Linked DNA regions of Pelodiscus sinensis. The protein of the gene in region 3 purifies or fractionates together with the protein of the main gene of each other region. This does not show direct contact. Links are inferred from orthologs where the notes say so. Each region holds a gene or a part of one and is shown on either strand. Other genes may lie near its edges. The genes, in order: VAMP7, VTI1A, STX8 and VAMP3.

The links.
Region 1: the proteins of STX8 (region 3) and VAMP7 purify together in Homo sapiens (affinity purification with western blotting; 3 studies listed by BioGRID and IntAct, with this or other methods). This does not show direct contact. The link is inferred for Pelodiscus sinensis from reciprocal best matches to the Homo sapiens genes STX8 and VAMP7.
Region 2: the proteins of STX8 (region 3) and VTI1A purify together in Homo sapiens (affinity purification with mass spectrometry; 3 studies listed by BioGRID and IntAct, with this or other methods). This does not show direct contact. The link is inferred for Pelodiscus sinensis from reciprocal best matches to the Homo sapiens genes STX8 and VTI1A.
Region 4: the proteins of STX8 (region 3) and VAMP3 purify together in Homo sapiens (co-immunoprecipitation; 3 studies listed by BioGRID and IntAct, with this or other methods). This does not show direct contact. The link is inferred for Pelodiscus sinensis from reciprocal best matches to the Homo sapiens genes STX8 and VAMP3.

Annotation. Positions count from the first base shown.
Region 1 is NC_134723.1:279,415-286,552, reverse strand, and holds the start of VAMP7 (vesicle-associated membrane protein 7), read left to right. Parts: upstream 1-4,136; 5' UTR 4,137-4,295; intron 4,296-7,138. Other genes in the region: DNA-directed RNA polymerases I and III subunit RPAC2-like, read right to left, coding at 365-403. UniProt on the Homo sapiens protein: Involved in the targeting and/or fusion of transport vesicles to their target membrane during transport of proteins from the early endosome to the lysosome. Required for heterotypic fusion of late endosomes with lysosomes and homotypic lysosomal fusion.
Region 2 is NC_134718.1:65,668,052-65,676,051, reverse strand, and holds the start of VTI1A (vesicle transport through interaction with t-SNAREs homolog 1A), read left to right. Parts: upstream 1-4,993; 5' UTR 4,994-5,342; coding exon 5,343-5,436; intron 5,437-8,000. Other genes in the region: palmitoyltransferase ZDHHC6, read right to left, coding at 1,700-1,791, 3,493-3,759. UniProt on the Homo sapiens protein: V-SNARE that mediates vesicle transport pathways through interactions with t-SNAREs on the target membrane. These interactions are proposed to mediate aspects of the specificity of vesicle trafficking and to promote fusion of the lipid bilayers.
Region 3 is NC_134730.1:2,580,646-2,588,533, reverse strand, and holds the start of STX8 (syntaxin-8), read left to right. Parts: upstream 1-4,882; 5' UTR 4,883-4,914; coding exon of another isoform or gene 4,915-5,014; coding exon 5,015-5,031; intron 5,032-5,293; exon of another isoform or gene 5,294-5,416; intron 5,417-6,980; coding exon 6,981-7,080; intron 7,081-7,888. UniProt on the Homo sapiens protein: Vesicle trafficking protein that functions in the early secretory pathway, possibly by mediating retrograde transport from cis-Golgi membranes to the ER.
Region 4 is NC_134733.1:25,559,007-25,566,865, reverse strand, and holds the start of VAMP3 (vesicle-associated membrane protein 3), read right to left. Parts: upstream 3,016-7,859; 5' UTR 2,825-3,015; coding exon 2,823-2,824; intron 1-2,822. UniProt on the Homo sapiens protein: SNARE involved in vesicular transport from the late endosomes to the trans-Golgi network.

The DNA.
Region 1 (7,138 bases), on a different chromosome or scaffold from region 3:
TGTCTAGATTCATGCGAGAACCTGTTTCCATTTTAAAGTGAGGAGTAATGTCTCTAGCGCTAGAGGCAGTGGGAGACGTTTGAGAGCATAAGCCCCAAAGGCTCAAAGCCCAGAAAGCAAATAAAAAGAACCCACGTGCCCTGGGGGGGGCACACGCCAGGCACCAGCTTTGCACAGGTCTGGGCCGTTCTGCTCAGGGGCAGCCCCCAGCCCAGAGCCTGACCCGCCCCATCCGCAGGGCACAGGCCACGCGCCTTCCCTGCGGGCTGGACCCGGGCTGCGGGTCACCACGTGGCCACCAGCCTGAACCCCCCGGCGCGTCCCGCATCCAGCCGGGCAGCCCCGGCCCGGCCGCGACACTCACCAGCTCCAGCGCCGGCTTCCCCTGCGCCTCCTCGGCCATGGCTGCCTGGCGGGGGCCGGGCTCTGCTGGGGATTCTGGGACGGGTAGTCCTAGCCCGGCCGGCGGGCTTCGGGCATCCCCGCGCTGCCCGCTGGGAATCTCCGCTCCTGGGCATCTCGTGAGGCGGGTTTCCCGCGGGACAGCTCGTGCCCCGATAAACACGCGGGTCTCTACGGCAGCGCAGGGCTGCTCCTTGCGGTCTCGGTTTGTTCTAGTTCGTCATGCCCCAGCGCCAAGGGGTGTGTAATTGCCCGCCAATGTCAGCTTCCAGTGCCTCGCCCTCTCTTGAAGAGACGCTTGCAAATATGACCTGAGTGCAGCCAAAAGGTTCAAAATGTGTTAAAAGTAATGAATCAAGACCCCTCCCCCTAAAATCTTGAGATTGGCTGAAAAATCATGAAATTTCAAAATAATAAAGTTGGATTTCTTTTTGTTTGCTTTCTGGGGCTGGTACGTGTATGGGTCACAATTTAGAGCTCTTCTCTGCACCCAAAAGAGCCAAAAATTTACCTTTTTTTAACAAATGAAAGCTGAAATGTTCAGGAAAGAATCTGATTCCATAACCTGAGGTGCTAACATAGCCACCAAATATTGTGCCACTCACAGGAAAATTGCAAGGAGTGGTGATATTGAAAACCAGAAAAAAAGAGCTCCAAATGTGCTATTATAAATCTTCAAACCAAACCAAAAAAAGTGATTTTGTGAATTGAGTTTTTTAAATCAGTCTCATAATTTGGAGGGGCCTGGCTCAAGTTTGAACTCTTGGGGTTGGTAACACTGCTGCTGTCCCATGTTAATTCCACTCAGAGGCATTCATAGGAGCTAGCCAAGGTTTAGTATGACACTGGCTACTGGTGAGAGGTGCAGTGAGAGCAGGATTAGGAAATGAAGAGATGTAAAAATTACAGAGTAATTTACGTTTAAAGGACAGTACCTCACCAAGCTATGTTCTTGGCACCTAACTATGCATTTTCATCACTAGGGTATGTCTACACCAGCCACCCTAGTTCAAACTAGAGTGGCTAATGTAGTCATTTGTACTTGCAAATGAAGCCCGGGATTTAAATATCCCAGCTTTCATCTGCATGTTCCCGGGCGCCACCATTTTTAAATGCCCGGTAGTTGGTGTCATTGGTCCAACACAGTTCTCCATGTACCTTGTCATGATCCTGATTCTCATCCATGACTACCTTCCTGATGGCACCAGGATTGAGTATCATATGGATGGTCAACTCCTCAATCTCCAATATCTCCAAACACAATCTAAGATTAAAAGAAATGGCATCACTAATCAGTATGCAGGTGACTGTCATTCTTGCACACGCAGAAGCCAATCTGCAAAGCACTCTACATCTTTTTGCAGTTATCTATCACACCCTGGGTCTGTCTCTCTACATTGGGAAAACAAAGGTATCCCATCAGCCCTCCCCTGCACAAACTACTCTTCATACTCCACAAATCACCGTCAGCGGAGAACCTCTGGAAAATGTGGATCGTTTTCTGTACCTTGGCAGCCACCTCTTCCAAACAGCTGGTACTGACACAGAAATTGAATACAGGTTCTGCTGTGTCAGCACATCTTTTGGAAGACTACGCAAATTTAAATTAAATATGGGTAGGGGTTGGTTATCTACAAACAGGTAAGATCTTGGTTTACAAAGCAGTTTGTAGGAAACCTTGGTATTCTACAAACATCCCACATGACTGGAATGGTTCCAGCAGTGCTGCCTCAGGAACATTCTCAGATTCTGCTGAGAAGCCAAATGCACTAATGTCAGTGTTCTCTAGCCAACATCAGCAGCATAGAAACACGGGTCATGATATACTGGCCACTCTGAATACGCCTATCACTCACCTCCTCAAACCATAGTAATAGAGATGTAGCCGTATTAGTCTGGTCTTGCTGAAACAAAAGACAGGACTATGCAGCACTTGAAAGACTAACAGAATGGTTTATTAGGTGATGAGCTTTTGTGGGCCCACGAAAGCTCATCTCCTAATAAACCATCTTGTTAGTCTTTAAAGTGCTGCCTAGTCCTGTCTTTTGCTCCTGAAACAAGTATCCTTCTCTCAATTAAATTGAGGAAGAAGGGCTTATAGAGGGAAGCAGAAGCATTTCAAAGATATATTGAAAGTACATGTTAAAAAGGGATGCATTAACCCAACAAATTGAAATGACTCGGTGTGAAACACAGAACACCATGCACCAAGCCAAAGCTTGCTTTGGGAAGAACAGATGTACTCTTGAGAGAAAAGTGACAAAGGAAGAAAGAAAGGCCATGACAGCGCAGCCAACAGCTGTGTCTTCTCCACAGTTACACCTGTCACTTCTCCAAGGTTATACCAGGGAATGCTGCAGGCAGACATCATCCTTGCACAGAGGGCTAGTCAGAGAAAAAGATGAGCTGAGCATGACTGGTGCTGAAATATGGGGCAGATTCAGAAGAGGCGAACAGTGTCCTACTACACCTCTGGCAGACAGCATTGTGTGAGATGCTACAGTACCAGGGCTGCCCACCTCAAAACAAGAGGCTGTGAATCTCCATCACACTGTGCAGGCCTGTTCTCAGGGGCGAGGTAGAGCAGAAGGTCTGACAGACATTTGGGGAACATGCTGCTGCTTGCTGGCCAGTGCAGCGCAGGGAGCTGGAAGTGATGGGAGTCTGCATTGAACTCAGTTGTGACTGTGACTTTCAGTCTGGATTGAACTCAGCTGTGACTGTGACTTTCAGTCTGGATTGAACTCAGCTGTGACTGTGACTTTCAGTCTGCATTGAACTCAGTTGTGACTGTGACTTTCAGTCCGGATTGAACTCAGTTGTGACTGTGACTTTCAGTCTGCATTGAACTCAGTTGTGACTGTGACTTTCAGTCCGGATTGAACTCAGTTGTGACTGTGACTTTCAGTCTGCATTGAACTCAGTTGTGACTGTGACTTTCAGTCTGCATTGAACTCAGTTGTGACTGTGACTTTCAGTCCGGATTGAACTCAGTTGTGACTGTGACTTTCAGTCTGCATTGAACTCAGTTGTGACTGTGACTTTCAGTCTGGATTGAACTCAGCTGTGACTGTGACTTTCAGTCTGCATTGAACTCAGTTGTGACTGTGACTTTCAGTCCGGATTGAACTCAGTTGTGACTGTGACTTTCAGTCTGCATTGAACTCAGTTGTGACTGTGACTTTCAGTCCGGATTGAACTCAGTTGTGACTGTGACTTTCAGTCTGGATTGAACTCAGTTGTGACTGGGACTTTCAGTCCGGATTGAACTCAGTTGTGACTGTGACTTTCAGTCTGGATTGAACTCAGTTGTGACTGTGACTCAGTCTGGATTGAACTCAGTTGTGACTGTGACTTTCAGTCTGGATTGAACTCAGTTGTGACTGTGACTTTCAGTCTGGATTGAACTCAGTTGTGACTGTGACTCAGTCTGGATTGAACTCAGTTGTGACTGTGACTTTCAGTCTGGATTGAACTCAGTTGTGACTGTGACTTTCAGTCTGGATGCCCTGTGGCGCGTTATGGCCACAGGACAGTGACTTCGAATTGGAGTCTGGCTGCGATTGGCGGCTGCGGGTGAGTCTCCCCAGAAGGCGCGTGACAGCTCAACAGCTGGAGCAGCCATGCTCTCCGAGCTCGCCTCAGAACTACACTACCCAGCATGCAGAGCGGCAGGGGGGGGGGGCTTCCCAACGTACAGCGCGGCTCGGGCGAAGTGGCTCCGCCCCGCGCAAGTGACTACATTTCCCGTGAGGCTCGGCGGCCACGGGCGCGTCCTCGGCGGAAGTGCACGTGCTCGCGGAGCGGAGGCCGGGGCCAGCGATAGGAGGAGGCAGGTGAAGAGCGCGCGGGGCTGGAGACTCCCCCTGCCCGAGAGCGAGGCCGCGGCGCAGGTGAGAGGGGGCGGGGCGGGGTGGGGCGGGGGCAGGGTTGGTATGGGGGGGGTAGGAGGAAGCTGGACGAGGGGGGGCAGGGTTGGTATGGGGGGGTAGGAGGAAGCTGGACGAGGGGGGGCAGGGTTGGTATGGGGGGGTAGGAGGAAGCTGGATGAGGGGGGGCGGGGTTGGTATGGGGGGGTAGGAGGAAGCTGGATGAGGGGGGGCAGGGTTGGTATGGGGGGGCAGGAGGAAGCTGGATGAGGGGGGGCGGGGTTGGTATGGGGGGGTAGGAGGAAGCTGGATGAGGGGGGGCAGGGTTGGTATGGGGGGGTAGGAGGAAGCTGGATGAGGGGGGGCAGGGTTGGTATGGGGGGGTAGGAGGAAGCTGGATGAGGGGGGGCGGGGTTGGTATGGGGGGGTAGGAGGAAGCTGGATGAGGGGGGGCAGGGTTGGTATGGGGGGGTAGGAGGAAGCTGGATGAGGGGGGGCGGGGTTGGTATGGGGGGTAGGAGGAAGCTGGATGAGGGGGGGCAGGGGTGGTATGGGGGGGGTAGGAGGAAGCTGGACGAGGGGGGGCAGGGTTGGTATGGGGGGGTAGGAGGAAGCTGGATGAGGGGGGGCAGGGTTGGTATGGGGGGGTAGGAGGAAGCTGGACGAGGGGGGGCAGGGTTGGTATGGGGGGGTAGGAGGAAGCTGGACGAGGGGGGGCAGGGTTGGTATGGGGGGGTAGGAGGAAGCTGGATGAGGGGGGGCAGGGTTGGTATGGGGGGGTAGGAGGAAGCTGGATGAGGGGGGGCGGGGTTGGTATGGGGGGGGTAGGAGGAAGCTGGATGAGGGGGGGCAGGGTTGGTATGGGGGGGTAGGAGGAAGCTGGATGAGGTGGGGCAGGGTTGGTATGGGGGGGTAGGAGGAAGCTGGACGAGGGGGGGGCAGGGTTGGTATGGGGGGTAGGAGGAAGCTGGATGAGGGGGGGCAGGGTTGGTATGGGGGGGTAGGAGGAAGCTGGACGAGGGGGGGCGGGGTTGGTATGGGGGGGTAGGAGGAAGCTGGACGAGGGGGGGCGGGGTTGGTATGGGGGGGTAGGAGGAAGCTGGACGAGGGGGGGCAGGGTTGGTATGGGGGGGCAGGAGGAAGCTGGATGAGGGGGGCGGGGTTGGTATGGGGGGGTAGGAGGAAGCTGGACGAGGGGGGGCAGGGTTGGTATGGGGGGTAGGAGGAAGCTGGACGAGGGGGGGCAGGGTTGGTATGGGGGGGTAGGAGGAAGCTGGACGAGGGGGGGCAGGGTTGGTATGGGGGGGTAGGAGGAAGCTGGACGAGGGGGGGCAGGGTTGGTATGGGGGGGTAGGAGGAAGCTGGATGAGGGGGGGCAGGGGTGGTATGGGGGGGGGTAGGAGGAAGCTGGATGAGGTGGGGCAGGGTTGGTATGGGGGGGTAGGAGGAAGCTGAATGAGGTGGGGCAGGGTTGGTATGGGGGGGCAGGAGGAAGCTGGACGAGGGGGGGCAGGGGTGGTATGGGGGGGCAGGAGGAAGCTGGATGAGGGGGGCGGGGTTGGTATGGGGGGGTAGGAGGAAGCTGGACGAGGGGGGGCAGGGTTGGTATGGGGGGTAGGAGGAAGCTGGACGAGGGGGGGCAGGGTTGGTATGGGGGGGTAGGAGGAAGCTGGACGAGGGGGGGCAGGGTTGGTATGGGGGGTAGGAGGAAGCTGGATGAGGGGGGCGGGGTTGGTATGGGGGGGTAGGAGGAAGCTGGACGAGGGGGGGCAGGGTTGGTATGGGGGGTAGGAGGAAGCTGGACGAGGGGGGGCAGGGTTGGTATGGGGGGGTAGGAGGAAGCTGGACGAGGGGGGGCAGGGTTGGTATGGGGGGGTAGGAGGAAGCTGGACGAGGGGGGGCAGGGTTGGTATGGGGGGGTAGGAGGAAGCTGGACGAGGGGGGGCAGGGTTGGTATGGGGGGTAGGAGGAAGCTGGACGAGGGGGGGCAGGGTTGGTATGGGGGGGTAGGAGGAAGCTGGACGAGGGGGGGCAGGGTTGGTATGGGGGGGTAGGAGGAAGCTGGACGAGGGGGGGCAGGGTTGGTATGGGGGGGTAGGAGGAAGCTGGACGAGGGGGGGCAGGGTTGGTATGGGGGGGTAGGAGGAAGCTGGACGAGGGGGGGCAGGGTTGGTATGGGGGGGTAGGAGGAAGCTGGACGAGGGGGGGCAGGGTTGGTATGGGGGGGTAGGAGGAAGCTGGACGAGGTGGGGCAGGGTTGGTATGGGGGGGTAGGAGGAAGCTGGACGAGGGGGGGCAGGGTTGGTATGGGGGGGTAGGAGGAAGCTGGATGAGGTGGGGCAGGGTTGGTATGGGGGGGTAGGAGGAAGCTGGACGAGGTGGGGCAGGGTTGGTATGGGGGGGTAGGAGGAAGCTGGACGAGGGGGGGCGGGGTTGGTATGGGGGGGTAGGAGGAAGCTGGACGAGGTGGGGCGGGGTTGGTATGGGGGGGTAGGAGGAAGCTGGACGAGGTGGGGCGGGGTTGGTATGGGGGGGTAGGAGGAAGCTGGACGAGGGGGGGCAGGGTTGGTATGGGGGGGTAGGAGGAAGCTGGACGAGGGGGGGCAGGGTTGGTATGGGGGGTAGGAGGAAGCTGGATGAGGGCCGGGGGCAGGGGTGTTACTGGGGGTAGGAGGAAGCTGGATGAGGGGGGGCAGGGGTGGTATGGGGGGGCTAGGAGGAAGCTGGACGAGGGGGGGCAGGGGTGGTATGGGGGGGTAGGAGGAAGCTGGATGAGGGGGGGCAGGGTTGGTATGGGGGGTAGGAGGAAGCTGGACGAGGGGGGGCAGGGTTGGTATGGGGGGTAGGAGGAAGCTGGATGAGGGCCG
Region 2 (8,000 bases), on a different chromosome or scaffold from region 3:
CTTCTAGAAAACCTGCACATACAAGTCACATCTCCCTCCTCCCCTTCATTTTTTTTTCTGATAACTAGTTTGAAATAATGGATCTAGTCTATTTTCTGCTGCTAGTTCCCTTACCTTACAAAAGCTCAGCATTTGCACTCAAGCTATGAACAAGTTCAGTATGCTATACTGATAGCCTAAATTCTTCAAATATGTGGTTATATGAAAGGTTAACTGTTAACAGAACAACATAGTTAAAGCAAATATTACATAACTTCTATCATCTCTTTCAAAATCAACAGTTCTTGGAAAAAACAGTAACTTGTAGATAGGAGTCTAATTTTACATTTTTAAAAAAGGAAGCATATACTGATGTATATACAAATTATAGTGCTGCTGTTCCTCAGTTTCAGATTCCTTACTTCTTGTAATGACACAATGATGGAGCAGAAATAAATCTATGAGAATGAAGTAACTTCCTTCTTCTACGTTCTCAAATGGTTTTCAGATCAGGCACTGCTGAACTAAACAAGAGAACTGTATATACATACTGTACAGCAGATCGCTAATAGGGATGTAAAAAGTCATTTAAAAATGTAACTCTAACTGCTAAAAATCCTAGTGGTTATAGGGTTACCCGCTCTGTGGACCCTGTAGCAAGCTTTATACTGCAGAGCCCGCAGCGAACCCTCCCTGGGAGTGGGGCTGGCAAGGACTGCCGGCCCTGCTCCTGGGGAGGCTTTTCTGTAGGATCTGAAGTATACAGCAAATCTGGTTCCTGGACCTCCTCCTAGCGAGGTTTTGCAGCTGCAACAAAGCTGGCTCCCCAAGAGTGGGGCAAGCAACTCCTGCTGGCCTGTTCTCAGGGAGCCAGTGTTTAACCTGAAGTGAGGCCAGGCCAGGCCTGCCATGGAGAGGGGCTGCTTCAGCCGGCTGGCCAGAGCAGTCCCTGTCTGTGGTGAGCCCTGCTAGACTGGAGCAGCCCCCTACCCACAGTAGCCCAGCTGCTACAGGTTAACCATTTACACCTCCAACAACTAGAAGTGTTTGTGCATCTTTTCACACCATATTCTCTTCCAGTGAAGCTATTTGCGGTTTAACAAAACTATTTAAACTCAAAACAAAGCAACTGAAAGATTTATCAAGTGCCAGTTCACAGTCACTTAGAAAGTTTATACTATAGGTTTATTATGCTGAACCAGGAGGCTTTTGGATATGCTTACAATAAGTTCAGTTCTTGCTTCCTAAAAAGATGTCACAAGCTTCCAGCCCAAGATTTCCATTTACTTTTTATCCAGGTATAAAAATGGAAGAATTGGGCCTTTGTTGAAATCAACATTCTTTATCTAAAAAGTAGAGGTGTGAGTTTGAGGTGGTCAACCAAGAGATGGATATTTACTAAGTGCTTTTGTCTTCCCACCTCACTACACAGATAATTTATTATTTAAAACATTCTTAGGGGGAACTACTATTCAGAATTTTAAAAATAAGCATATCTAAAGATAATGGTTTTAAGCCCATATGCTCTCTATTGTCAAAACAGTAAGGGAAATCCATTTCCTCCTTCAAGCAATGTAGTCCAATATTGGAAATTAGCATAGTGTTTTGAACATGGAATTACCTGCACAGTGCAATACACCAAATAAATAATAATAATCCACCATTAAAAAATAAGTTGCTTTAAGACCAGGAAAAAAAAGGAACACAAAGAAAACTGTACCTGTTACATTTTCGGCAGTGGTGTGAACGTGGTGCTTTGTATGACTGGCACACTTTACAGTACTGGAGATACATGCAGTCCTGAGATTTTTCCTTTAAGCACAAGAAGATGCATATGAGAAACAACACAATTCCAATAGCAGAGTAAGCACTAGCCTAAGTGTAGTAGCCTAAGCAATTTTATAATGCTTTTGTGCTTTGCTTTGTCTGGGTGTGATTTATCTTCACCCTTTTTAAATGGCAGAAAGGCGTAGGAGAGAAATCAGCAAAACTTCTAGCTACTATTCCAATTAACTCTTTTTAATTGCGGGGCCTTACAAAAGAAATACATTTCCATCTGAAAAATTTAGGCCCTCAGCCTGAAAGTTACTCTGCACAAGCAGCCCCTGTACAGGTCAACCTTTGTGGAATAACTGGCAGGGTTGACTCCTTAGAAATTTGCTTCTATTTATGCATCTATTTTTCTCTTTCTTCTCTCAGCCTTGGACCTAATTGTACTCCAGAGGAAGTTAAAGCAGCCTTAGGGCTGCTCTAATTTATGCCAACAGGCTATGGCCCTTAAAGATATTTGATGTTACCAGTGATCAAGAACACAAAGATTTCTAGCCAACCTCCTTGTCAACCCAATATGCTCTCTACAGCAGTAGGAGGGGCCAGAAGACTGGGGTGGCATACAGTCAGTGATTTCCCTGTTTAAAGTGGAATGCCCAGCTACCCTTAGGACAGCCTTAGGTTCCCTCCCTCATCTTTCTATTGCAAAGCACTGTAAAGCCAGAACCATTACCATCCCACTGGCATACTGGTGAAAAAGATTCTGGCCGACTGCTTTCAAATGTACTGCTGCTCTTCCATTGTGTGTGAATACTTTTTGAATTAGCTCGAGGAGATTGTTAAAACTGACAGCGCAAGAAATGCAACCTCCTACGCTTACAAAAGTGTTGAGAAATGGCCCATGGAGCTGCATCCAGCCCTCTTGATGTATCCATATGGCCCACACGACATTCATATTTGCCAGAACCTTTTTTTTTTTTTTAAATTAAAGCTTGGCTTACTAGTGCTCACAACGGTATATAATTTTGCAAATGGGAACCAAGTGTAATAGATACAGTGACATCTGTGTGCATGCACAAACAGCCTGAAACAATGGCTCAAAGGGGAGAATACCACCATTCTCTATTAATCTGATTGGAGTACCAACAATAAACCACCACCACCACCACCGAGTCAACATTAATTATTTAACCACTGTTCATTTTAGTGGATGAAATGGGGACAAAAGGCAGAAGTGACACACAATGGATTGGAAACTGGGAGTTGATGGAGGGAAGGAAATTCAGAGCTAAGAACACAGAAGAGGACAAAAACAGAAAGGCTGATGGTGAAGGAAGAGGAACAAGAGGCAGAGCTAGTGGATGCCCAAAGGATAGATTTTCTCATTGAGCTTTATGAAAAGAAAGCACTGAACAAACAATAACCAAATATTTAATTACTACATAAAACCATATTCTCCTCCTTGTACAAACCTTCTACTGACATCAAAGGACGTATTTTGACAAGTATACGGATCTTGAACCAACCCACTGACCATACTGCAACAGAATCCAGCCCTTTCCTTCTAATGAGTTTGACATCCTGGTTTACGACATGCTACTTTCACAGAATTACTTAAACTGTACTGACAAAGCAAGCGAGGTTTGAATATAATTTCTGAATTACTGAACTATTAACAAAGATCAATATTAAGATTTCATCATGAAAATTAACTATTAGTGAAAGTTTACTGTATTTCCTTACTGGTTTCCATCCTAAAGGAACATATCCAGGGCCAATAAACATGGCATTGAAGTAATTGTAAAGAATCATGACAGTCCAGTTTATGAGCATGATGAAATTTACACTTCCTCCCGTCGTGTCCAAAGGCCAATACCACAGAACAGCATCTATCATAGCCATAGTAGAACATATTGCTATCACACCGAGGGCTATGATGGGGCCCCAGTGACAAAGTCTCTTCAGTTCCTGGAGATTCTCAAACTTGATAACTGAACACAGTGCACCCATTTTGAAGAAGAGTACTTGTCCTACTTCAAATAGTATTCAATGTTCCTAATTTTCCTATTTTTGATTACAGTTTTCCATTTGTCATAAGTTTTCATCTTCAATAATGGTCATCCCTACAAATACCAGATAGTTAATTGTGATCAAGACATTTCTAATGTTTGGAAGAGTCATCAGTTGTAGGAGCAATTCACATCCATCTCAGGAGGACAACTTGGTTCTATCCTCGACCTAGAAACACAAAAACAGGAGAATTTCTAAATCAAGGAAAACAAAACAGGCTCTGTAAGTCAACTGCAATAAAAGAGTTCAATGCACAGTCCAGGAAGTTGTGTTGTCACTTAAACTAGGTTCTTGTGAAATGATTCGTTTCACACTGCTTGGCTTGTATTCTGATATTAATAAAAACAGACCTAGATCCTTGCATAGGTGCCTTTTTATACTTTTTTTTAAACGAAATAAAACAGTGCAGAAATATCAGTTAAAAATCATGAAAGACCACATCAGGAGAACTGGAAATTCTTGCTAAAACCGCATGGCAGGGTTCTTAACTCAGTCCCTGTACAACAGGAGGCCAGCAGCCGGCTGACAGTATTTCCACTGTGGGAAAGCGCTCTTGGAAGAGCCAGAGAGGCTCTGCGACTATATGCAGCGGCGGCAGCAGCCGAAACGAGGAGGTGGCCCCTCCCCACGCCCTGAGAGTTTTACTCTCGTCAGGTCAGGCTACCGGGAGAAGACATCGAGCCCCGGTCCCGGTCCCACAGTCAGTGTCTGCTCGGCCCCCACCCCTAGCGCATGGGGCCCCTGCAGCCTCCTGCCTGGGCTCCCCTCCCGCGCGCCAGCAGGGCAGCGCTCTGAGCCCGGCCCGGGCAGGAGTCCCACTAGGGCCTGGCCTCGCCTCCCCACCGCTCCCCCTGCAGCGGCCCCTCCCCCACCGCCTTGGATCCCCCTGGGACCTCCCCACCAGGCTCCAGATTCAGCCTTCCCCTCCCCCCCCCCGCTCACCTCAGCCCGTGTAGCCGCCCTTCCGCCAGGCCCCTCCCCAGCTCACCTCAGCCCCTCCGACATCCCCGGCCGAGCCATGCCCCGCGGCGCGCCCCTCTGCCAGCACTTCCGGGAGGCGCGCGCCTGTGACCCGGAAACAAACGCGTCTCTTCCGCCCTCGCTTCATGTTTGTCCGGGCCTGGCGGTTTCTCTCAGAAGTGGGTCCCCCCGGAAACCTGCTGCCGGGGGTTGAATCGGCGCCGCTCGTGGGGGCGCGTATCCCCCCCCACCAGGGGAGTTTTAGCGGACAGACACTGGGCGGAGGTGGCGAACGGGCCCTGGGCTAGGGCGGGACTCGGCTCTTCCTAGTCACCGGAGGCTCCTGCGCAGGGCCCGGAGGGCAGCGCGAGGGAGTGAGGGGGGGAGAGGAGGGAAGATCTGGGCGGCTTGGAGCTCTCAAGGGACGGCGGCAGAACCGAGTCCCGGCCGGAACCATCGGCGGCGGCTGCCGATTCCGAGGGGGAGGCTTTTGGCTGCGACACAACGCGGAAGCCTCTTGGCCGAGAGCAGCTGAGCCCGGCTTGTGGTCCCCGGCCGCCACCATGTCCTCCGACTTCGAGGGCTACGAGCAGGACTTCGCGGTGCTGACAGCGGAGGTCACGGGCCGGATCGGGAAGGTGCCCAAGCTGCTGGGCGGTGCGTGCGGGGGCTGCGAGCCGCGGGGCGGGGGGTAAAATCCGTCACGTGGCTAATTGGACAAACCTCTCGGTTCGTCTCCTAAGCGGTTAACGGGCGAGAAGCCGCCTCCCCGGCTCACGTCTGCTCTGCCCCCCCCCCCCCCGGCTGCAGGTGGGGAGCTGCTCCTGCCTGGACCTGTTCTCCCTACCTGGTGATCTCCACTTGTTAAGAGTGGGGCTTACTGGTTAATAGTCACATCCCTGGGGGGGGAGCAGGGGAAGGCTGGGGGGGGGGGGTGCTGGGGTCGGAGATAGGGGGGGGCTGGTGCAGGGGTTTGGAGCGGGTGCTGAGGTGAGGAGCAAAGGAGGGCTGGTGCCGAGACAGAGATGTTGGCCTCCACTGAGAAGAGGAAGGGGAGGGGCCCTGCTTAGGTGCTACTTTCAGTGCCAGGGCGAGTGTGCTGGACATCTTGGTATCTAGAGGTTGTTGAGATGGTCTGGAGGGGGGTGATATACGAATCACTTTCTACCACTAGCTAGCTGGGGGTTCATACTAGGCCCCACTTCAGTCTTGCTTTGGAGTGTCCTGTCCTCCTTTCCACCTCATGCCAGCTAATAAGGTGGAGATACAGGTGAAACATCTTCAGTGGGTGGAAGTCTGAGCAGCAGCAGATGTTCTGGAACGCAGTCTGTAGGGGTCAGGAAGTGAACAGTAGCTCATTTTGCTCTCAATTCACAAGTGGGAAGGTATTTCCATAACCATGGACACATGCATTTTTTTAAGGCTAGCAGAGACCATTGAGGGCCCTGTTATTTCATCTTCTCTGTAACAAAGTGTAACTTTATTCTTGATATAGAATGTTTTGTTCAACAAGACTTTGCTCGGTGTTTGTACAGCATCTAGCACAATAGGATCCTAATCTGTGAAGTGATGCTATCACAGTACAAGAAGTTGATTTGATTTTTTCTAATTTTCTAACTAATTGGAGGATGATTGGAGAAATACATTAGGAAATAAAAGCTGATGACTTCATCTTTTTTGTTAAAGTTCCTTGGTGTTTAAGAATTCTGTCCCTCTTAGGGTGTGAATCAAGAATATACAAGTGATAGTCTGACTGCTTGAGATAAAAGACACTATCCCCTGACTAATAATGCTTTTCTAGAACTCTAGCATATAGGTGCTAAAACCATTACATATTCTCAACACTGTCTGTTGTCTGAGTTCTAATACATCTCCCCTGGCATGCTGCGTATTTGTAGGCAAACAATCTCTTGACCTCTTTCTCAGTTTTCTTTGGGTGTGCTTTTTTCTGAATTGAGAGAGGGAATCTTGCTTGCCTTCTTCATGTGGGCGTTTGTGAGGATTAATTATTTCAAGACTTGAAAAATATATTTGCTAGTTGTGAGAGCAGTGGGGGCTGAATCTGTCATTTTTTTTTTTGCCAGATTCAACTTTGATTTAAAATCCATTTTATAAAAGAATTGTTGAATCTGTGAAGACCTGTGCTACATATAAACTGGTTCAGCATTATTTTCCTGAGAACTGCAGACAGCTCTCTTATCATTGTGATGTCTTTGCAGGGCTATGGTGGTGATAGGTACATCATAAGAATTGGAGAAAACAGAGTAAGATGGGAGTAAAATACAATTAAAAACATATCGTCTTAAGCAAGTATAAACCTGAACACATTCATGGGGCAGATTTCTTCTTTAGTCACTTCTCAGGGTAAAACTACACTCTAAAATGACTTAATTTTCATATTCTTTCTATTTGAACAATTGACATTTATTCCCAGAAGATTAATGTATTTCTCTAGCCATTCTCCAATGACATTACAAAAATCAAAGCAAGTTGTTCTAAACTTCAATTTTCTTGGTGAAATATTACTGTTTACAATCTAAAATTAAGGATAGAAGATTAACATAGAAAACTTTTAAGATTTAGGGCTTTTGTTGGTAAACCATAATTAAGAAGTTGCAGAGCAAGCTTGTTGAAAGCCATGTGCTACCGATATTTATAATGGAGACCATTTTACACGGTTTCTGGATTAATAATCAGAAACTGCTAATTTCTTACTAATTTTCCTGTTAAGATGAGATGACCATAATCTAGTATACTTACATTCTTTTGACATCACTTGCACTGTCCATGTAAATGTCTTGTATGCATTGTGAGATCCTTATTACTGTGCTGATTGTGTGTGCACAGAAGTGAGATACCGTTGACTTTTATCTGCATATGGTTAGCAGTGGAGGCGATAGACATCTTGTCAGTTTCATTTTCAAACTGAACTTCCAAAAACATTCTTTTTTTTTTTTTTCAAACTGCTGTTAGGCAGCATGGAGAAAGCATTGCTGAGAGGGATGATTCTGACCATTGTTAATACAAACAGGGTGCTCCAGATATATTGACAATTGTTCAGGTGGCTTTGGAGGAGATGTCGCCATAGGAACCATCATGATGCTGTCTGGATGCCGATGGAAGAATAAAACATTGAAACCTGGCAATTATATCTACGAGACATTTTCCTGAATTGGCTTCACTCATTAGAGCACCACTTCTGGACTCAGCCTGCACTGACA
Region 3 (7,888 bases):
TCCCGGTGCAGCCTGTGATGCCAAGAGGCCGACCTGGCCACCTTAATCCCTTCCAGGACTGTGTGGGGCGAGGCGGGGTCCGGTGCATGGGGCACAGCAAGACCTAGCCACAAGGGCATGAGCACCAAGCAGCAGCCCGTGCTGAGATCAACAGGTGCTGCGGGGAGTCTGTACACACGGCGGCAGAAAATGCCTCTTGTCATTGCAGCTGAAATCCTGCCGTAATAGGCTTGTGCTAGGGCAATAAAACGTTTCTCTCCGTGGCCCCCAGTAGCTTCTGGAGCATCAATACCCACGGGAATAGCTGGCTGTATTTGCAGCATGAATCGTACAGGGAGAAAAGGTGCCCAGCAGATCTTGCATGATAAATCCCCCACAATCTTTTAGGGCTTTGTTCCTAGGTGACTAGTTTATTGGAAAGACATTGGCTCCAAGAGGGCCTGGAGAAACTGCTGTTGTACAGCGTAGACTCACTTAGCTTAGCCGAGTTCCCCCGCGTAGGCCCCCACAGCCAAAATATTTATGGTGTCAACATTCGGCTGGGTCCTGACTTCCTTATAGCCCAGCCCTGCCCTCCGCCTCCAGTGAAAACTCCCACGCTTTGCAGAACTGGAGGAGCACCCAGAGCGCCAGTTGTGGGGGGCAGGGGTCACAGAAGGAGGAGTACTCTCAGGGCATTTGGCTGTGGGAGCAGGGAGAGCCCACAGTCCACAAATGGCGCACTACCCGAGGGCTTTCCGGGGAGAAGCTGGGGGAAGGTACGGAGGGAAAACAGGTGTGTGTGGGGGGGGGGGGGCGGGGGGAGGGCAGGGGCCTGTCAGGTTTGCCAGCTCACAGAGCTGTCACTCAATAGGTGTTGCCCTTCTGCCGACTGTTGGTGGTACAGTGTTAAGAGGCTCTCCAGGTCTGGATGTCAAAATATTCCATTAATGGTAATTATCATAAGATCAGGAGTTCAGACAAGTGAAAACATGTTAGCTTGTTGCTCGTGCAACAGGATCAAGGTGGGAGAGGCTGGCTGAAGCCGAGGAGCCGAGTGTCTCTAACCTGAGCCCCTCCATTAGTAACACTCTTATTTGCTGGGTGCCCTCGGTGTTCTCAGCACAGTACAACACAGGGAGGAAGACACAATTCCGGGCCCAAGGAGCTTTGGGAGATCGGGTGCTTCTGTAAGTCGACAGACTTGCAGCGTGGCTGCAGCGTGCGCTGGGGTTGAGCACAAGGTTATCCCCTTATACCAGTGCTCCTTTGTGGGTGCCTGCGGGGGGCATGGTGGTGGGGAGTGCATTTTAAAAAGAAGCAAGAACATCCGAAGCTGCGCTGCAGCATGACCTCGCTGGTAATCTCAGCTCGCCCTTGTGCTCATGTGGCCCGCTGGGGAGTGCAGAAGTGCCTGGATAAGGGTAAATTATCGGAGCCAGCATTATTTAGTTAATAGTAACAAGAATAAGTCAATAACTTTTCCTGTGACACCTCTCACCGCAAAGCATGCCACATCGGGGCAGTGATACATTTAGGCTACGTCTACACTGGCAGCTTCTTGCACAAGAACTCTTTTGCGGAAGAGTTCTTGTGCAAAAACTCTTCCAGAAGAAAGCGTCTACACTGGCAAGTGCTTTTGCGCAAGAGCATCCATGCCAGTGTAGACGCTCTCTTGCGCAAGAAAGCTCCGATGACCATTTTAACCATAGGGCTTTCTTGCGCAAGAAATTCATGTTGCCTGTCTACACTGGCCTCTTGCACAAGAACAGTTGCACTAGAGGGCTTATTCCTGAGCGGGAGCATCACAGTTCTTGTGCAAGAAGCCCTGATTTTATACAGTAGAACATCAGTTTACTTGCACAAGAACACACGGCTAGTATAGACAGGCAGCAAGTTTTTGCGCAAGAGCAGCCACTTTGGCACAAGATCGCGTCAGTGTAGACACAGCCCCTATGTTACTGAATGGAGTCCTGGAACCCGGTTGTTGTTTGTCAATAAACAGTAATGCAACACAAGCAGTTAACACATGGCTGCTTACTCTCATGCAGAGTCGTAACTGGACTTTTCAATCAATAGTAATTTCAAGTGGGACTTAAGGAGGCAGAATGCAGTTACCCACAGCAGGGTGTAACGAGCAGGACAGAGTAAAACATCTCTTGCCTGTCAAAACGTCTCATGGGATCCTTAATGAGTCCAAGCAGTCAGATGGCTGGTTTTATAGCTCACCAGAAAATAAAGCAGCTGCAGCACCAGCCTGCAAACAGCATCTGGGGCATCTACTGCTGAATAGAAGAAAACCAGTCACTTTGGTGGTTCAGAGCAAACCCCATTTCCATTGCTTTTTGGTGGTGTAATGCCAGGCATGAATTTAGTCCCAGGAGTTTAGGTGCTCTGGGATGATCTGTGAGCAGGGCCCTTCTGGGATTTTGTATTAACCTGGCATTTGGGGCCAGTCAAAAGATAAATGAAATAGATTGATCATAAAATACTAGACGTCATTCTTAACCGGTAACATCTATCTCACGGACTCTGACCATGCCGCTGTAATGGCTAGGGGATTTCAGTAGTTCTTCAATTGGATGTAACTGTTTGTAAGTGGAGAACACAGCCTGATTTTCTCAGGTAGAAAGGCCTGTTTCACAGCTCTATGAATGCTGCATTCAGAACTTCCCACTACCACTATATTAGTCCTTGGGTTTTCTCCATATTATCATAATTGCAGTCAGAAGCCGCAAATCACATCAGGGCTCTCCTGTGCTTGTGTGCTGTACAAATACTTAGGAAGAGACAGGCTCTGCCTAAAAGTGCTTACAATCTAATGTAAAGTTGTGAACATTATACATCAGCCATACACATTTAAAAGCAACAATCACAGATACATTTCTCCCCCAGATCTTACAGCCAAGAGCAAGGTGAAAGGTGGCCTTTTACACAAAAGGGTCAAAGTTTGTTTGGAGTGTTTCCATTAAATTAAAAAAAACAAGTGGAAACAGTTTTATTAAACAAATAAACATTCTCGAGCAATGTTTGCAACACAAACACTGCTGCTTTGTGCAAGCACATTGTGCAAAGCCACCCCCTCTGTCGGTGACCAGGCAGAAGACCGTGTCCCTGCCTGTCGGACTTGGCCACTGTGCTTCTGTGGTGTCTAGTCTTGACCACTGTAGATCTTTGGATGGAGTCCTATGCCCTAGCAAAACTACAGCTAGCTCAGAATGCAAGTAGCTCACCTGCTTGCCAATGCGTGTTGCTGACTGTACATCTTCCTGCTGCGTATGCTGATTCCTCGCTCAGCACAGAGTCTACTTGAAGGTCTCCGGAGAGGGGGATCTGGCTGCCTAATAGAACAATTCTTCCTCTACAGCTCCGAGACTGTCAACCCCAAGTCTTCAACTATCATGAGTCAGTCCCCCACCCCCAAACTAATGAAAAGGTTGAAAAATATCTGAGTTTAAAAAAGGAATTTTTGTTTTGCCTTCTGGTTTTTGAGCCCATAGAAATCATCTTTGCAAGCTTTTGTCCTTGTTGCATTCAGAGCTAAATGCCAACCTCACCTCTTCAGTGAAGCCTTCCTCCCTCTCAGGCTTTTATATTTGAGTCCCCTCTTGCTCTTAAACATTTTAATCCTGCTTCTTACCAGCAGGGAAGGAAGAAATATTGTTACCAGTATTTTACTTTTGGTTGATACTCTGCTATTATGGGGAAAAGTGCCAATATAAGGCAGATATTTCAAGAGAACCGGCCAGTGATAAGGGCTAAAAAACAAATGTGAAATTAATTAGTATAGTTTCACTGTCCCAAACTGCTCTCATTTAACTGTTAGCGGGAGCACTAGGGCTAACTCCCGTACTGCAGGAGCACGTGAAAAATGAAGTGATCTCTAAGGGCTTGTCTACACTGGGAACTTTTTGCTACAAATTTAATCTCTTACTGCTCCCAGAGATTGGGGCAGTGGGTGGGACGAGCGTAGGCAAAACGTGCATTTTCAAAGCTCTGTGTTGGAGACCTGCTCTGAACAGAGCTGGATGATACAGTGCTCCAACCCCTGAGGCTGGATAGGGCTGTCCAGGCTAGTCCCTCCATTGCTACAACCAAAGGAGCAGAAAGGGTGAAGCATCAAAGAGAAAATCTAGTAGGCACTTGCCTGGGGCCTTATTAATGGATTTCAAAGTCACCGTATTATTTCAAACCAATTTCAAAAGCCAGCTCCACGGGAAACTACAGAACTTAATTTCAGTTCCAGGTTTGATTCCTACAACAGTCTCAACAAAGACATTGGCTGGATGGCCCGCTGTACTCCACATCCTAAGGACATACAAACAAACAAAGAGAGTACTTAGCACTTTTATCAGCTTCATTTAGCATGGACAGGCTAATTGATCATTTCTTTCCCTTTCCTCTCCCCCCCCATCTGCTCTCTGTGCTGTTTATTTGAAAACTGCACCCACCCCTTGAACTCCGTTCAGCTGAAGAAGCGGCTTGTGCCCCCGGAAGCTCACGATGCCCGTCTACGTGTTTGTGTTAGTCCCTAGGGCCCAGGAAAGCTCAGCACCCAACAAACCCCCTTGCTGGTCTCTATGGTGCTACCTGGTCCGGTTTGTTTTCTAACGTGTCCCCAGTTGGACCAAGGCGGCCTGGCCCGTTGTCTGTCTCCAGGGGCGCGTGTGCTGAGCGCCTGACACCGGCCCGCCCGCAGGGCGCTGTGCCTGGGGAGGGGGGGGGGGCACTGACCCCCCCGAGCCTGGGGACTTTGTGCGCTCCGGTCCCGGGGGGGGGGGTGAAGCACCAGCGCGAGCGCCCCAATGCTGGGGGGGGCTGAGCCTTAGGGGCTGGGGCGGCACCGCCGCGCCTCGCTCCGCCCCCCCCACCGGGCTGCCACCCGCGGGGGCGGGGCCTGGCCGGGTGTGGCTCCGCCCCCTGGGCAGGACCCGGATGTGCCCCCCCTCCCCCGCCGCGCTGAGCCTCTGCGCCTGCCGTAGGCAGCTGAGCCAGCCCGGAAGCGGCCGGCTCCAGAGCAGCCCCGGGCGCAGGGATGGCTCCGGACCCCTGGTGAGCGGCGGGGGCGGGGGGTTGTGGGGCCCGGACCCCCCCCGTTCGGGGCCCATTGCGGGGGGAGCCCCCCCGGCATGCGGGGCCCCCGCGGCCTCGGCTCCCGCTTCGCGCCTCAGGGCGGCGCGCCCGGGGGGAGGGGGCTCCTGCGGGCGGTGAACGGGGCCGCCCCGCCCCCGCCCCGTGTGCGCCGAGCCCGGGAGTCCCCCCCCCCCCGCCACTCCGCGTTGCTCGTCTCCGCCTCGCCGGTTCCGACCCGGGCCCGACCTGGGCAGACGCGCGCGGCTCCTGAAGGGGCGCCGGGTCCGGTACCGGCAGAGTCTGCGGGGAGCCCGGCACGTGACCGGACACGAGCCCGTTCCCCTCTGGCTGCCGCTGTCCGCAGGTACCGCACAGAACAGACAAACCCGCCCGCTCCTGCCCGTGGCTCCCCTCCCCAGGGGTGCGAACCGCGCAGAGCCCGCTCCTCCCCCGCACGCCCAGCCTGGTGTTGGATGGCCCCGAGGTGCGTGCCTTGAGGCAGGCATTTTGCAGCCTGTTCACTTGGACCCTGCGCTGCATCCTGGTCCTGGCTCCTTTCCCTTCTGCATCTGCGGACATGCTGATCGTGGCTGCACGGCCTCCTCTCCCCAAATGCTGGTGGGGTCTAGCACCTTGGCCTGGCTCTACGCAGGGATCTCCTGATGCACGGAGCAGGCATGGCCAGCTAGAGGGGTGTGCTGAGAACATACTACCCCAAGCAAACAGGAAGGAGACTTTACATTTTCAAAAAACCCTGCAAGGGCGTGTCCTGGCCGTCTGAGCAGGGCAGCAAAGTTCAAACATGACTAGAGAGGCCAGAACAGGCCTGGTGGGAAGGGTGCTGGGGACCAGTACTAACTACACAAGTACATCACCACTTAAATCCTGTGCTGAGAGGTACATTCACTGGTCCTGTGCTTTCATATCGTCCCTGTGATGGGCCCATTAGAAATCCCTGGGGAGATAGGGGTTGGGTGTCACTATAGTATGTTTGCATTTAGTAACTTGCTGAACTCTCTCTGAGGCTTGTAGCAGGCGTGTAATCCCCCTCTGTCCTGGGATCTGTAGTAATTCTGACTGTTTGACATGACACCACCTAGCCTGTGTGTAATCCTAGATTGTCGGAAGCACTCCTACCGGTATCTTGGTTTTGGTTTTAAGCAGGCCTGTTTCTTGCATCTGCTTTGTGTTTAGCTTTATCCTAATATTTCAAGGACTGAGTGGTTTTTTTGAGTGATAAACTCCCTAAACTGTGGGTGGGCAATAATTTTCTCAGTGGGGCCACACCATGAATTTTGGTAAGTTGTCACAGACCACATGTTTCTACTCTCTTAATGAAATTACCTCACCATCTATTGTTGAAAGACCCCATTATGCGCTTCATGCACCAGAGCAATTACACTTAGTTACCTGAATACACGTGTATCCAAAGCTTGTCTTACAGTTTGCAATATAAATTGCCTTCTAATAACACTAATGCTAAACTTTTACTTACAGCTTCTGTTCATTAGTAAAATTAAGTGTAAACGAAAAAAGGAAATTTTGTGAAGAAGAGAATCTCTAATGGGCATTAACAAGGGAGGTGAAGTCAGCTGTTATCCAGAGCAAGGTTGGGGGGATCCCGGAAGGGATGATGCCTTAGTAGGAAGGGTGGGGGTGCTAGCCTTCCCCAGCCAGTTCTTCAGTGCCTCCTGCCCTCTGGTGGCAATTTAAAGGGCCTGGTGCTCCAGCCCCTGCCATGGTAGCAGCCAAAGTAGTTTCTTCAATTGCCAAGAGTCAGGTGGGCTGGACAGAAATGTCAGACGGTCTATATTTTGCCCATCCCTGCCCTAAACCCTTGATTGAGAGAAGAGACTCAAACCAAGATTCTCGACACAGAGATGACTGGAGAGAATTATCTTAGCTATCTGAAAACATTCTGTTTACAGGCTGTCGATGTACGATTCCACCTGTTACATTGCACAAGAGATTGCTGAAAAAATCCAGGAACGTAACCGATGTCAAAGAAATGGTGAAAATTCAACTAAGGTATCCTATGTTCCTGAAAGAGCTAGTATTTGTAAACATCTCTTTTAATTTAGGTTTTCTAGTTAATTCTATCAAAATTGGGTACCTTTCTGGAAGAGAAGGCAATTCAGTATTTTTCACCCACTCAGTATACACCAAGTCCTGTCAAGATGTAAGCACATGCACAGTTTTACAGACTCAAAGGGGAAGTTAGCTTGTGGTTTATTTTGCGTTGTGTGTCGCTTCATTACCTATTCTTACTATTCTGTGTGTGTTAAATGTTAAGCAAATAAAGCGTTGGCATCCCAAAGAAATTGGCTGTGTCTAGACTGGCAAGTTTTTCCACAAAATCATCTGCTTTTGCGGAAAAACTTGCCAGCTGTCTACACTGGTCACTTGAATTTCCGCAAAAGCACTGACGATCTCATGTAAGATTGTCAGTGCTTTTGCAGAAATACTATGCTGCTCCCGTTTGGGCAAAAGTCTTTTCCGAAAAACTTTTGCGCAAAAGGGCCAGTGTAGACAGCAGAGATTTTTTTCCCGCAAAACAGCCCTGATCGTGAAAATGGCAATCGGGGCTTTTTTGCGGAAAAGCGCGTCTAGATTGGCCACAGACGCTTTTCCGCAGAAAGCGCTTTTGCGGAAAAGCGTCCTGCCAATCTAGACGCGCTTTTCCTAAAATGCTTTTAACGGAAAACTTTTCCATTAAAAGCATTTCTGGAAAATCATGCCAGTCTAGACGTAGCCATTGAGTCAAGCTGAGTGAATGCCTTTTACTCTCCTTTCCTTGCCGGCATCATACTGCACTGCTGTTTGCGATGAGAGCCCG
Region 4 (7,859 bases), on a different chromosome or scaffold from region 3:
AGCTCCTCCAGTTCAGCCACCCTGTCCTCCAAAGCCCGAACTCGGTCTCTGAGGGTCAGGAGCTCCTTGCAATGGCTGCACACATACGCCACCTGCCCACAGGGCAGGTAATCGTACATGTTACACTGGACGCAATAAACAGGATAGCCCCCACTCTGCTGCTGGGCTTCTGTCTCCATGTTTGTAATGAATAAGTTTAAGTATAAACTGGGATTCTTTTTAAACTTCTGGAGTATAGATTATTCTAAGAGTTAGGTTTTAAAGAAGGACACAAGTCACTAGTGCCCTCTAAACTCCCTCTCCAAACTCTCCTGTTACCTGTTCCTGGTCATGCTCTCCCTGGTCGCTGAGTCACAGGCTTATATAGCTCTGGTAGTCCCTCCCCCTGCCTGAGGCTCGGCCAATTAACAGAGGCTTCTAGATTTCAAACCTTTTAGAAGCTCCTTCAAACAAACAAACCAAACAGACAAACACAAGCTCAGCACACTGCAAACTCCCCCCCACACAAACACACACTCCAGACAGCCACTTACCACAAGAGTCCCGTTTTTACTCCTCTTTTACCTGGAGAACTCCCTCTCCAAACTCTCCTGTTACCTGTTCCTGGTCACGCTCAACACAATTAGTTGATAAGGGAAAGCACTACCCCACTCTGACTCAATTAGCCTCATTTTACACAAGTACCCTCGTTTGTTGTATGTGTGCAAATTGTGTGTGCATATATCTACACACACACACACACACACACAGCCCCTCCCTCAGTAAATTCCACTCCAATACATCTGATGAAGTGAGTTTTACCCATGAAAGCTTATGCCCTAACAAGTCTGTTAGTCTCCAAAGTGCCACAGGAATCCTCAAAGTCACTATAAACACCCTGCGGAGGCCAATTTAGAAGATACTCCATCACACTGTGACATTTTAAAAACAACACCAAATTACCATGTTTAATTCATAAAAGAAAACAGCACAAAACCAAAAGAAAACAAAAAATCCCCACAATACCTCTCCCTCAACCAGCTAGGCCAAAGAAACAAAAGGCTATACCTTTCTTTTGTTTAAAAGGCTCCCTCACTAGCTAGTGGCTCAGATGAATGCCTTTGTTTATTTCACAGCCATCAGTCATGGAGTCAAAGCAGAACCAGAGTTTACACCATCTCTGCACACTATCTAGAAATAAAGACTTTTTTGACTCAGACTTTAAGGTCAGAAGGGACCATTATGATCATCTAGTCTGATCCCCTGAACAGTGCAGGCCACAGAATCTCACCCACCCCTCCCAGAATAATCCTCTCACCTAGATCTCAGATATTGAAGCCTTCAAATACTTTGAAGGCCCCAAGATGCAGAGAATCCTCCAGCTGTTATCTGTGCCCCATGCTACAGAGGAAGGCGAAAAACCTCCAGGGCCTCTGCCAATCTACCCTAGAGGAAAATTCCTTCCCGACCCCAAATATGGCGATCAGCTAAAGCCTGAGCATGTGGGCAAGACTCACCAGCCAGACACCCAGAAAGTTCTCTAGAGTAACTCCTATCATCCCTCCATTGGCCTATTCCCACTGATAATGAATGGTCAATTAGTTACCAAGATCATGTTCTCAAACCAACCCCTTATCATAGAACTGGAAGAGACCTCAGAAGGTCATCAAGTCCAGCCCCCTGCTCTAGGCAGGACCAATCCCATCTAAATTTCTGTCACCCTAATACAGGGGCAGGCAAAATATGGCCCAGAAAACTGCAAGATCCGACCCAGTACCATGCTGTGGACTAGCAGGGGCTTCAGGCAGACTCCCTGTGCGCTGCCTCCACCCAAGTTGCTCAAAGTGGCTGGCTGTGGTGGGGGCCACCTGCCCGTGGCCCTTGCAGCTGACCACAAGGGCCCGGCAAGTAGGGAGCCTGCCCGTGTCCACTTGGCTGCAGGCCAAGAGCAGCCACCTAAATGAGGCACCGTGTAGCCCGAGCCTGGCCCCCCCCAGACGCGCCCCCCCCATGTAGCCCGAGCCTGGCCCCCCCCAGACGCGCCCCCCCCATGTAGCCCGAGCCTGGCCCCCCCCAGACGCGCCCCCCCCGTGTAGCCCGAGCCTGGCCCCCCCCAGACGCGCCCCCCCATGTAGCCCGAGCCTGGCCACCCCCCCAGACGCGCCCCCCCCATGTAGCCCGAGCCTGGCCGCCCCCCCAGACGCGCCCCCCCCGTGTAGCCCGAGCCTGGCCGCCCCCCCAGACGCGCCCCCCCCATGTAGCCCGAGCCTGGCCCCCCACAGACGCAGCCCCCCCCGTGTATCCCGAGCCTGGCCCCCCCCACGCGCCCCCCCATGTATCCCGAGCCTGGCCGCCCCCCCAGACGCGCCCCCCCCATGTAGCCCGAGCCTGGCCGCCCCCCCAGACGCGCCCCCCCCATGTAGCCCGAGCCTGGCCGCCCCCCCAGACGCGCCCCCCCCCATGTAGCCCGAGCCTGGCCCCCCCCAGACACGCCCCCCCATGTAGCCCGAGCCTGGCCCCCCCCAGACACGCCTCTCCCGTGTAGCCCGAGCCTGGCCCCCCCCAGACGCGCCCCCCCCCGTGTAGCCCGAGCCTGGCCCCCCCCAGACGCGGCCCCCCCCGTGTAGCCCGAGCCTGGCCCCCCCCAGACGCGCCCCCCCCCGTGTAGCCCGAGCCTGGCCCCCCCCAGACGCGGCCCCCCCCGTGTAGCCCGAGCCTGGCCGCCCCCCCAGACGCGCCCCCCCGTGTAGCCCGAGCCTGGCCCCCCCCAGACGCCCCCCAGCAACCGCCGAGAGCTGGGCGGCCGCAGGGCCCGTCACACCCTCCCCGGGCCCCGCACTCACATGGCGGCGGCGCGAGCCTCTGCGGGGGAGTCTAACGGCGCGAGGCGACACACAGCACTGCACCGGAAACCGCCGCGGGGCAGGCGGGCGCGGTCCGGATGTGACGGTTGGGGGGGCGGGGTCGGACACGCCCCGCCCCCAGCCCCGCCCACCGACTGCTCCCGAACATCGCGTGCTCGCCGCGTGCGCCTGCGCCTGCGCCTGCTGCCTTGGGCACTGTAGGGGCAGGGGGCGGGGGCTTCGGGCTCCTGTGTGTCCCGGGGGGGGTGGGGGGGACAGGCGGGGGCGGGTGTCTGTGTGTCCCCGGGGGGGGGGGGACAGGCGGGGGCGGGTGTCTGTGTGTCCGGGGGGGGACAGGCGGGGGCGGGTGTCTGTGAGTCCCGGGGGGGGGGAACAGGCGGGGGCGGGTGTCTGTGTGTCCCCGGGGGGGGTGGGGGGGACAGGCGGGGGCGGGTGTCTGTGTGTCCCCGGGGGGGGGGGACAGGCGGGGGCGGGTGTCTGTGTGTCCCGGGGGGGGGGACAGGCGGGGGCGGGTGTCTGTGTGTCCCTGGGGGGGGGAACAGGCGGGGGCGGGTGTCTGTGTGTCCCGGGGGGGGGAACAGGCGGGGGCGGGTGTCTGTGTGTCCCGGGGGGGGGGACAGGCGGGGGCGGGTGTCTGTGTGTCCCGGGGGGGGGAACAGGCGGGGGCGGGTGTCTGTGTGTCCCGGGGGGGGGAACAGGCGGGGGGCGGGTGTCTGTGTATCCCGGGGGGGGGAACAGGCGGGGGCGGGTGTCTGTGTGTCCTGGGGGGGGGGAACAGGCGGGGGCGGGTGTCTGTGTGTCCCGGGGGGGGACAGGCGGGGGCGGGTGTCTGTGTGTCCCGGGGGGGGACAGGCGGGGGCGGGTGTCTGTGTGTCCCGGGGGGGGGACAGGCGGGGGCGGGTGTCTGTGTGTCCCCGGGGGGGGGGGGACAGGCGGGGGCGGGTGTCTGTGTGTCCCGGGGGGGGGAACAGGCGGGGGCGGGTGTCTGTGTGTCCCGGGGGGGGTGGGGGGGACAGGCGGGGGCAGGTGTCTGTGTGTCCCGGGGGGGGGAACAGGCGGGGGCGGGTGTCTGTGTGTCCCCGGGGGGGGGGGACAGGCGGGGGCGGGTGTCTGTGTGTCCCCGGGGGGGGGGGGACAGGTGGGGGCGGGTGTCTGTGTGTCCCGGGAGGGAGGACAGGCGGGGGCGGGTGTCTGTGTGTCCCCGGGGGGGGGAACAGGCGGGGGCGGGTGTCTGTGTGTCCCGGGGGGGGGAACAGGCGGGGGCGGGTGTCTGTGTGTCCCGGGGGGGGGGAACAGGCGGGGGCGGGTGTCTGTGTGTCCCGGGGGGGGGAACAGGCGGGGGCGGGTGTCTGTGTGTCCCGGGGGGGGGGACAGGCGGGGGGCGGGTGTCTGTGTGTCCATGGGGGGGGGACAGGCGGGGGCGGGTGTCTGTGTGTCCCGGGGGGGGGACAGGCGGGGGCGGGTGTCTGTGTGTCCCGGGGGGGGGAACAGGCGGGGGGCGGGTGTCTGTGTGTCCCGGGGGGGGGGACAGGCGGGGGCGGGTGTCTGTGTGTCCCGGGGGGGGGAACAGGCGGGGGCGGGTGTCTGTGTGTCCCGGGGGGGGGGGAACAGGCGGGGGGCGGGTGTCTGTGTGTCCCGGGGGGGGGAACAGGCGGGGGCGGGTGTCTGTGTGTCCCGGGGGGGGGGAACAGGCGGGGGGCGGGTGTCTGTGTGTCCCGGGGGGGGGGGAACAGGCGGGGGCGGGTGTCTGTGTGTCCTGGGGGGGGGGGAACAGGCGGGGGCGGGTGTCTGTGTGTCCGGGGGGGACAGGCGGGGGCGGGTGTCTGTGTGTCCCGGGGGGGGACAGGCGGGGGCGGGTGTCTGTGTGTCCCTGGGGGGGGGAACAGGCGGGGGCGGGTGTCTGTGTGTCCCTGGGGGGGGGAACAGGCGGGGGCGGGTGTCTGTGTGTCCCGGGGGGGGGACAGGCGGGGGCGGGTGTCTGTGTGTCCGGGGGGGGACAGGCGGGGGCGGGTGTCTGTGTGTCCCGGGGGGGGGAACAGGCGGGGGCGGGTGTCTGTGTGTCCCGGGGGGGGAACAGGCGGGGGCGGGTGTCTGTGTGTCCGGGGGGGGACAGGCGGGGGCGGGTGTCTGTGTGTCCGGGGGGGACAGGCGGGGCGGGTGTCTGTGTGTCCGGGGGGAGACAGGCGGGGCGGGGTGTCTGTGTGTCCGGGGGGGGACAGGCGGGGGCGGGTGTCTGTGTGTCCGGGGGGGGACAGGCGGGGGCGGGTGTCTGTGTGTCCGGGGGGGGACAGGCGGGGGCGGGTGTCTGTGTGTCCCGGGGGGGGACAGGCGGGGGCGGGTGTCTGTGTGTCCGGGGGGAGACAGGCGGGGGCGGGTGTCTGTGTGTCCGGGGGGGGACAGGCGGGGGCGGGTGTCTGTGTGTCCGGGGGGGACAGGCGGGGGCGGGTGTCTGTGTGTCCCGGGGGGGGACAGGCGGGGGCGGGTGTCTGTGTGTCCGGGGGGGGACAGGCGGGGGCGGGTGTCTGTGTGTCCGGGGGGGACAGGCGGGGGCGGGTGTCTGTGTGTCCCGGGGGGGGACAGGCGGGGGCGGGTGTCTGTGTGTCCCTGGGGGGGGGAACAGGCGGGGGCGGGTGTCTGTGTGTCCCGGGGGGGGGACAGGCGGGGGCGGGTGTCTGTGTGTCCGGGGGGGGACAGGCGGGGGCGGGTGTCTGTGTGTCCCGGGGGGGGACAGGCGGGGGCGGGTGTCTGTGTGTCCGGGGGGGGACAGGCGGGGGCGGGTGTCTGTGTGTCCCGGGGGGACAGGCGGGGGCGGGTGTCTGTGTGTCCGGGGGGGGGACAGGCGGGGGCGGGTGTCTGTGTGTCCCTGGGGGGGGACAGGCGGGGGCGGGTGTCTGTGTGTCCCGGGGGGGGGACAGGCGGGGGCGGGTGTCTGTGTGTCCGGGGGGGGACAGGCGGGGGCGGGTGTCTGTGTGTCCCGGGGGGGGGAACAGGCGGGGGGCGGGTGTCTGTGTGTCCCGGGGGGGGAACAGGCGGGGGCGGGTGTCTGTGTGTCCCGGGGGGGACAGGCGGGGGCGGGTGTCTGTGTGTCCGGGGGGGGGACAGGCGGGGGCGGGTGTCTGTGTGTCCGGGGGGGGACAGGCGGGGGCGGGTGTCTGTGTGTCCGGGGGGGGACAGGCGGGGGCGGGTGTCTGTGTGTCCGGGGGGGGACAGGCGGGGGGCGGGTGTCTGTGTGTCCGGGGGGGGACAGGCGGGGGCGGGTGTCTGTGTGTCCCGGGGGGGACAGGCGGGGGCGGGTGTCTGTGTGTCCGGGGGGAGACAGGCGGGGGCGGGTGTCTGTGTGTCCGGGGGGGGACAGGCGGGGGCGGTGTCTGTGTGTCCCGGGGGGGGGACAGGCGGGGGCGGGTGTCTGTGTGTCCGGGGGAGACAGGCGGGGGCGGGTGTCTGTGTGTCCGGGGGGGGGACAGGCGGGGGCGGGTGTCTGTGTGTCCGGGGGGGACAGGCGGGGGCGGGTGTCTGTGTGTCCCGGGGGGGACAGGCGGGGGCGGGTGTCTGTGTGTCCGGGGGGAGACAGGCGGGGGCGGGTGTCTGTGTGTCCGGGGGGGGACAGGCGGGGGCGGGTGTCTGTGTGTCCCGGGGGGGGGACAGGCGGGGGCGGGTGTCTGTGTGTCCGGGGGGGGACAGGCGGGGGCGGGTGTCTGTGTGTCCCGGGGGGGGACAGGCGGGGGCGGGTGTCTGTGTCCCCTGGGGGGGGGGACAGGCGGGGGCGGGTGTCTGTGTGTCCCTGGGGGGGGGACAGGCGGGGGCGGGTGTCTGTGTGTCCCGGGGGAGGACAGGCGGGGGCGGGTGTCTGTGTGTCCCGGGGGGGGGACAGGCGGGGGCGGGTGTCTGTGTGTCCCTGGGGGGGGGGACAGGCGGGGGCGGGTGTCTGTGTGTCCTGGGGGGGACAGGCGGGGGCGGGTGTCTGTGTGTCCCTGGGGGGGGGGACAGGCGGGGGGTCGGGTGTCTGTGTGTCCCTGGGGGGGGGACAGGCGGGGGCGGGTGTCTGTGTGTCCCGGGGGGGGGACAGGCGGGGGCGGGTGTCTGTGTGTCCCGGGGGGGGGACAGGCGGGGGCGGGTGTCTGTGTGTCCCGGGGGGGGACAGGCGGGGCGGGTGTCTGTGTGTCCCGGGGGGGGGACAGGCGGGGGCGGGGTGTCTGTGTGTCCGGGGGGGGGACAGGCGGGGGCGGGTGTCTGTGTGTCCCTGGGGGGGGGACAGGCGGGGGCGGGTGTCTGTGTGTCCCTGGGGGGGGACAGGCGGGGGGCGGGTGTCTGTGTGTCCCTGGGGGGGGACAGGCGGGGGCGGGTGTCTGTGTGTCCCGGGGGGGGACAGGCGGGGGCGGGTGTCTGTGTGTCCCTGGGGGGGGACAGGCGGGGGCGGGTGTCTGTGTGTCCCTGGGGGGGGGACAGGCGGGGGCGGGTGTCTGTGTGTCCCTGGGGGGGGGACAGGCGGGGGCGGGTGTCTGTGTGTCCCTGGGGGGGGACAGGCGGGGGCGGGTGTCTGTGTGTCCCTGGGGGGGACAGGCGGGGGCGGGTGTCTGTGTGTCCCTGGGGGGGGACAGGCGGGGGCGGGTGTCTGTGTGTCCGTGGGGGGGACAGGCGGGGGCGGGTGTCTGTGTGTCCCGGGGGGGGGACAGGCGGGGGCGGGTGTCTGTGTTTCCCGGGGGGGGGACAGGCGGGGGCGGGTGTCTGTGTGTCCCGGGGGGGGGACAGGCGGGGGGCGGGTGTCTGTGTTTCCCGGGGGGGGGGACAGGCGGGGGCGGGTGTCTGTGTGTCCGGGGGGGGGACAGGCGGGGGCGGGTGTCTGTGTGTCCGGGGGGGGACAGGCGGGGGCGGGTGTCTGTGTGTCCCTGGGGGGACAGGCGGGGGTCGGGGGACTGGCGGGTCCCGGGGGGACAGCGGGGCGGGTGTCTGTGTGTCCCTGGGGGGGGACAGGCGGGGGCGGGTGTCTGTGTGTCCCGGGGGGGGGACAGGCGGGGG